2 linked regions of the Caenorhabditis elegans genome follow. The protein of the gene in region 1 interacts with the protein of each later gene in a pairwise test. Each region holds a gene or a part of one and is shown in the gene's direction. Other genes may lie near its edges.

The links. The genes of interacting proteins can lie anywhere in the genome.
Region 2: the proteins of lec-1 (region 1) and F26F2.3 interact in a two-hybrid assay, tested with the Caenorhabditis elegans proteins (2 studies listed by BioGRID).

Annotation. Positions count from the first base shown.
Region 1 is NC_003280.10:13,195,336-13,199,090, forward strand, and holds the start of lec-1 (Galectin), read left to right. Parts: upstream 1-1,610; 5' UTR 1,611-1,773; coding exon 1,774-1,818; intron 1,819-2,698; coding exon 2,699-3,274; intron 3,275-3,755. UniProt on the Caenorhabditis elegans protein: Binds galactose.
Region 2 is NC_003283.11:20,564,708-20,568,235, reverse strand, and holds F26F2.3 (Transthyretin-like family protein), read left to right. Parts: upstream 1-1,681; 5' UTR 1,682-1,694; coding exon 1,695-2,114; intron 2,115-2,159; coding exon 2,160-2,420; intron 2,421-2,611; coding exon 2,612-2,671; intron 2,672-2,715; coding exon 2,716-2,826; 3' UTR 2,827-2,947; downstream 2,948-3,528. Other genes in the region: F26F2.9 (Transcription termination factor Rho), read right to left, coding at 320-493, 587-661.

The DNA of each region.
Region 1 (3,755 bases):
CTGTGCTCTTTTGTCTCTTGTTTACACGTCTGTTGTCTCTCGGACTTTATTTACGAAATGCTGCGTCTCTCCTGCCCTTCTCTCTCTCTCTCTCTATTGCGCCCAGAGACCACACTTTTATTGCCATTGTCGTCGTCGTCGTCGGAAATTTTCTCGCTTTTTCATCTTCTTCTTCTAAATAATCATGTTTTTAAAATTCAATTTTAATTTCAGGAACCACCGAAAAGCCACCACCAGCAAAAAATGTCCGCCGAAGAGCCAAAGTCCTACGTGAGTTTCGTTTCTAACGGTGTTGTAACAACAACAAAAAAGAAAAGAATAGAAAAAAAACCGTATCAGTACGGGGGTGATGAAAGTGCGGCGGCGGCCCCAGTCAAGCGTAAGAAATAATGAAAAAGAAAGGACAGAAACTTTTGGAGAATTTGCCCGTTTCTGTAAGTGTCACCTCTATAGTTCACCACCGATGTTTGGACTACTACTACTACGTGTTGAATCAGAAGGAAGATCAGACGCCGCAAAAAATATATTTGTTGATAGTTGATTTCGAAATTGTAGTTCTTGACACTGATGATTGATCGTTAAGTGAACAATTTTAAAGAAACGATTTTTGCATAACGTCCAGTTTGCAGCAATTCTACAGAATCAGGTTGAAAAGCTTCGAATTTAGAAACGTCTTCAGCTAAAGTGAGACCAAAATGTTTCCATCAAAAGCTCAAAAGGCATTTTTAATCTCTTTTTTCCAGCTTGAAACAATTTCCAGTTGATCTTTAAGATGCTTACCACTCGAATTTCAAATTGCTTCTGCAGTCTTCTATGTTAAGCCGTGTCTCATCATGAATGTCCTTTCTCTTCGATGTCTTGTGCCTTCTTGAAAATCTTCCGACGAGTAGTAACCTCCTTTTTCTCGAATATAGAACAACAAATGGCAGTTTGGCAATTTGGCAATTTGGACAAAACACTAGTACACCATGAGAACCTGCCTAAGATCAATGCCACATTTTTTCTCGCCTTGGCCCTAGTTGTGCAACACCTTTTCAACGTTTGAAGCAGGGGTGGGCGGCAATTGCCGGTTTGCCGGAAATTTCAATTCCGGCAATTTTCCGATTTTCCGCAAATTTCAATTCCGGCAATTTTCCGATTTGCCGGAAATTTCAATTCCGGCAATTTGCCGATTTGCCGGAAAAAAATCGTTTGCCGCCCACCCCCTGGTTTTTGAAGTGCATTTCGAGCCTTTGAAGTTGAAGTTTGCACGTGACGCCCAGACTCGAAATGCGGTAAACAGTAATGCGAAGACGCAAATATTGAGCATGGATTTTGCTCCGAAAACTTTTGTTGTTTGAGTTTCAACAAATCATACAAAAAAAATTTCGAGCTGAAAACTGTACCAACACTCATTATCGATCTCTTCCTCTCCAGAAAGTTCCGTTCCTTTTTTCAATTTCACTGTTTTCTTCGCCTACAACGACACGATGAATCATGGCGAGAAGTCGTATGCGAGAGACTGTACGAGAAGTCGGAGACACAGACAGATGCACAAAAAGAAACATTTCAATGTCGCCTCGCGCACATGCTGTCACCCTCCCATAATTCCATGCTCTCTCTGACTCAATATTGGGCGGCGCTTGCGAATGTTATGACTGTTCAACTGTCTGGTTTCTCTCTCCTCTCACACTCTCAGCTTTTGTTGAAACTGTTTACCGGTCGTCAGTTCTTCGTTTGACTCGCGTCCTGAACGATCGCTTTCAGTTTTCCTCAGCTCAACTCTTTACACTAATGTCTTCCACTCCTCAATTCCTTCGCTGGTACGAGCAGAACAAGGTAAAGCATGCCTCTATACATGGGGGTGTCAGGCTGTCCCATGTTTGATCTACAAAAAAAAGCGGGAATTTTTTCTCCTGCAACTTTTCGGAGATCAAACTGACATGGGACATTCTGACACCAGCTCGAAAATGGAGAGCATTCCAAGTTTGTTGGTTGCCACTAAAGTGACACATTCCTCTCGTTATCTGCTCGCCCACACCTTCGGTTCCATTATCAACATTCGAGATTCCCGCCATATTTCTGGTGTGTTTGCTCGGCGGCACATCACAACAAAATTTTGTGCAAAATGGAGCAAAATGGAGCTAAAAAATAGAAAGCAACTAGACAATGTAGAAAAGGCATTTTTTGTCGTCGTCAGCTGTATGAAAGTCTGGGGAGCGCGAAGATTGGTGGATGCAGATTGGATAACAGCTCTTCCGCTTTTTCGGGTCTCGCTTCTTGCTCGCTTATTCTGTTCACCAGTGTGTGACACGCGAGGTCCCCCCCCCCCCCCAGCATATATTTCTACATGATTACCCTACTGAACATTTTAAAATGGCATATGGAAGAAGAAATGGTTCTAGAAAACTCTACTTATAAATCTATTACCGAAACACAAAATTCTGAGAATGCGTATCGCGCGACATATTTGACGCGCAAAATATCTCGTAGCGAAAACTACAGTAGTTCATTGTTCATTACATGACTACTGTAGCGCTTGTGTGTCGATTTACGGCATTTCACAAGCGCTACAGTAGGCATTTAAGGAGTTACTGTAGTTTTCGCTACGAGATATTTTGCGCGTCAAATATGTTGTGCAGTACGCATTATCAGAAAAATGTGTTCCCGTAATAATCCAATTAATTTTTTAAAAAATTAAAATTTTTAAATTTTTCAGCCAGTACCATACCGCTCAGTGCTCCAGGAGAAGTTCGAGCCCGGACAGACGCTCATCGTCAAGGGATCGACGATCGACGAGTCGCAACGCTTCACCATCAACCTTCACTCGAAGACCGCGGATTTCTCCGGAAACGATGTGCCACTCCACGTCTCTGTCCGCTTCGATGAGGGCAAAATTGTGCTCAACTCGTTCTCGAATGGAGAATGGGGAAAGGAAGAGCGCAAGTCGAACCCAATCAAGAAGGGAGACTCGTTCGACATTCGCATCCGTGCTCACGACGATCGCTTCCAGATCATCGTCGACCACAAGGAGTTCAAGGACTACGAGCACCGTCTGCCACTCTCCTCAATCTCTCACCTCTCGATTGACGGAGATCTCTACTTGAACCACGTTCACTGGGGAGGAAAGTACTACCCAGTACCATACGAGAGCGGACTCGCCAACGGACTTCCAGTCGGAAAGAGCCTCCTCGTCTTTGGAACCGTTGAGAAGAAGGCCAAGCGCTTCCACGTCAACCTTCTCCGCAAGAATGGAGACATCTCGTTCCACTTCAACCCACGTTTCGATGAGAAGGTAAGGGTTGATATATGCCACGAGGCACCACAGAAAGGAGAACCACGACAAAGGAGAACAGGAACCACGTCCATTTTTCCGTGCCGCGAGAGGCACCACATTTTCAGGATCTGGAACCGTACCAACTGCGGTTTTTGCAGTTTTCTCTCGATGAAAAACGAAACAACGATGCTCCGATGTTATGCGTGTTGTTTAGCGTTTTCCAAAAGTTTTTATTTCAAAAAAACATTATTCTGAACGCTAAACAACACGCGACGCGTCATATCGGAGTATCGTTGTTTCGTTTTTCAGCGAGAGAAAACTGCAAAAACCGCAGTTGGCACGGTGCCCCAGATCCTGAAAACGTGGTGCCTCAAAATTTGCGGAAAACTTGCGGCACGGAAAAATGGGTGTGGTTTCTGTGTTCTCCTTGTTCACCTGTTCTCCTTTCTGTGGTGCCTCACACACACATACACAAAAAGACCCGCATTTTGTTTGCTAC
Region 2 (3,528 bases), on another chromosome or scaffold:
AATTTTTTTTTAATTGAGAGAGGCCGTGTTACACAAGATTAAAAAACACGCCAAAACTGTGTTTATTTTAAAAATAACGAGATAGATATAGGTAGTATATAGCTAATATAGCTAACTTTAAGAAAACTTGATTAAAACAAAAATGTAATAGATGAGATTTAAAATTGCAATAGATAAAGAACACCCAAAACAATTGTCTCCCTTGTTTTCTTCTTCTGATTTTAATGGAAATGTCTACGGGACTCTCCTCCCTTTGTGCTTCGGCCGAATTGTCAAAGACGTAATAATAATAATCATAATAATAATAATAATTGATTTATTATTTTTTCCTATTTGAAGTATGAACAACATTGAATGAACAATTATTACAATTGAAAATAAAAATATGATAACCAGCATTGACTTCTTTGAGATTATTTTCACTTCGAATCGCGTTTCGATCATCTCTTGCCTGGTCGGACAATCTTGCATTGTAGTTCATCTCCATCATTCGCTGAAATATAATACTTGTGGTAAATTATTAATTATTGATTATTAGGTAAAGTATTAAACATTATTAATTAATAGAAAAAATAAATTTAAAAACCTTCATGAAATCATGTTGCCGGGAATTTTGCTTATCCAGCATTTCCGCCATCCGCAGTGTATTGTTGTCGCTCATTGTTTGGGTGTTGGAATTGTTTTCTGAATTATGCTTTACATTGAAATGAATATAACAAAATTCCGTTTAATTGTTTAAAAAAACACAATTTTTAGTAACCATCATTTAAATATAAAGTTTTAGTGTTTTACTAGAACATGTTGCAGGAAAATTAATGATACAAATGGGGTAAAAAATAAAGAGAATATAATGCTCCCTTGAGTGCAAGCTTCTTTTATACTGAGAGGACACATCAATTCCTCATGAATAATCAAAATATTGCTAACAATTAATTCCTCCTGTCAAGGAAAAGTTTTGAAAGAAATGTGCTCTTGAAAGTTAATTTTCATGTTCCTCAGATTTCATGACGCTTCGCGGTTAGTTTTTTGACAGGTTATGTTTCTTAGTTCTATAATTTTATTGAAATGCACTTTCTTCCGTATGAGGAATTGTGTTATCTTTCAATAATGTGGAGCAATATTTTTATTTATAAGGAATGCTCTTATCAGTTTAGTATAAATTGAAGAGCGGAGACCACGAATGTTCAGTTGTCTTACTTTCATTTATTTTTTTGAATTTTTCTCCGGCCAAAAGTATTTAACAAATAAAAGTTCTCTTGAAAGTTAATTTTCATATTCCTCAGTTTTCTTTTTCTATTTTTATAATTTTATTGGAAAATACTTTCCGTCCTGTTCCTAGCCCGTATAAGAACCTGTGTTATCTTCCAATAATTTGGAGCAATACTCCAGTTTATGAGGAATTTTCTTATCAGTATTAATAGAATGTCGGTGATCAGGAACGTTTAATTTTCTTACTGGCTAACGATTTTCAAAACTTAATTATAAATTGCAAGATTTTTTCACATTTTCTTTTTCAAGGTTTTTAAATTTTCAAACAAAGAATGCAAAACCTCAGTTTGTTTGAAAATTTTTGAAAGTGCTGGTTTTCAGTGTTCACAAACTTTGCCGCTCGCCAATATTTTCCAATTTTACCAATCGCCAAACTTGTCGTTCAGCAGTCACCCCTGTTCCTATCAACGCTGTTTTAGATAACAATGGAGCAAAACCATGATTCAAGAGGGACGGATCGCATAAGATTGTCCAATGTGCAGCAAAGAGATGGAAGTGTCAGTCATTTTTACCAGCATCAAGAAGGAACGGATATTCAGGTGCAAGTAAGAAGAGGCAGCGCAAAGTTGGATGGTCAGCGTGTACCTTTTCATAAACTCACAATAACCCCCGACATTCCTTATCGTGACCTCGGATTACGTCTAAAAGTAACTGGCAACAATGGACAGGGCATCTACCTTCGTAATGTTGAAACAAGCAGACATTCTGACCAAACCAGAAGCTCAGGAAGAGCACATACAGATGACCAGCGTTATTCGTTCACAATACCATCATACTATCCTTACCCTACCGGAGTATGTCTGAAAATTCCATACTCTGCCAAAGCTAAGAATGTTCAAATCAAGGTATTTGTAATAGTTAGAATGTAATTTTAATGGTATTCGTTTCAGATGAGAAGGAGTAAATCTCACAACTACAGAGAAGCTGATATAGTGGGACTCAATACGCCGAATCAACACATTGAAGCTCGTCGATTGAGCTTTGAGGAGTCTCAGCGAAGACTGCAAGATGAAGCTAGAATAGCCGAGCAAAGAAGATGGGAAAACACGCGGAGACAAAACGACCAAAGCATCAGAAATGTTTATGGGAGAGAATATGAAGCTGATAGCAGAAATAGTGGTGGGCACCATGAACGAAATGAGCAGCGGAGGGTAAGAAACAATTCGAGAATAGCCTCATAAAATTCTGTTAGCATCAAGGTCAGCCTTAAAAAAATCAGCCTAAATCTGATGTTTCAGTTTTTTCGACAAATCGTGTTTCTCTATTTTCTGAACAAATAACAATCTCATCAACAATCTTAACATTTCAATTTTTGGAACGACATTTAAATATAACTTTCCAGGAAAGGGAATGCATTATGGATCGGGAACCACGTTATACAAACGGATTCGATCAAATTGAAGTGAGTTTCATAAAATTGATATAATTATTGAAATAATTGTTAAGAGAACTATGAGAAATAACCGTGCGGCATTGGAGGCACAACACGCGGAAAGTGATGCACAGAGGAGGATGAGAGAAGAAGAAATCAAGAACACTTTTATTGGAAGATTTTAGTAAATATAAATCAATAAATAACCTTTTCTGGACTTTTTTCCTCTTTTTGATCTATTTTCTGTGTAGTTTTCATATGAGAGAATACGATTTTTAAATGAGAATAAAGAGGCAGTAATTCTAACAGTATATTTTTTGTGATATGGATTGCTTAGAGTTCAATATCTAGCAACTGCACGGTAGCACAGAAACTAGATGGATTGGTTCATGATACTCAGTCTGGAAATCTATATTGGCTACTATCTCGAAAACCATCACAAAATCGATTTTTCGATGCCTATCTTTATTTGTGATGAATTTTCGATTTTGTACTTCCTGGCCAAGTTATGCACGTTTATTCGGTGGAGCGCGTTTGCACCCATCTAGCAACTGAACCACCGTGACTGAACCACCGTGCGGCCGACACATCTGTGGTTCCGCGCCGCCCTACATTTCACGCCATTCAGATAAATGCGGCGACCTCATGGGAGTCATCATTCATAGAAAACCGTTGAATTTTTATGCCTTCAAACGATACTTCTTTGTTCAATCATTGCAAAACATATCTTTCCGATTTTATTCACTATCCGCCATTTACGGGCAATTTTTTTCCGTATTAAGTGCAAAATCGGTTTAAAAAACTCACAATCTCCCTCATATTGCGTTTTTTGTTTAACTTTATGAAATTAAGATAGACCGTATTACAATAGATTAAAAAAAAACGAA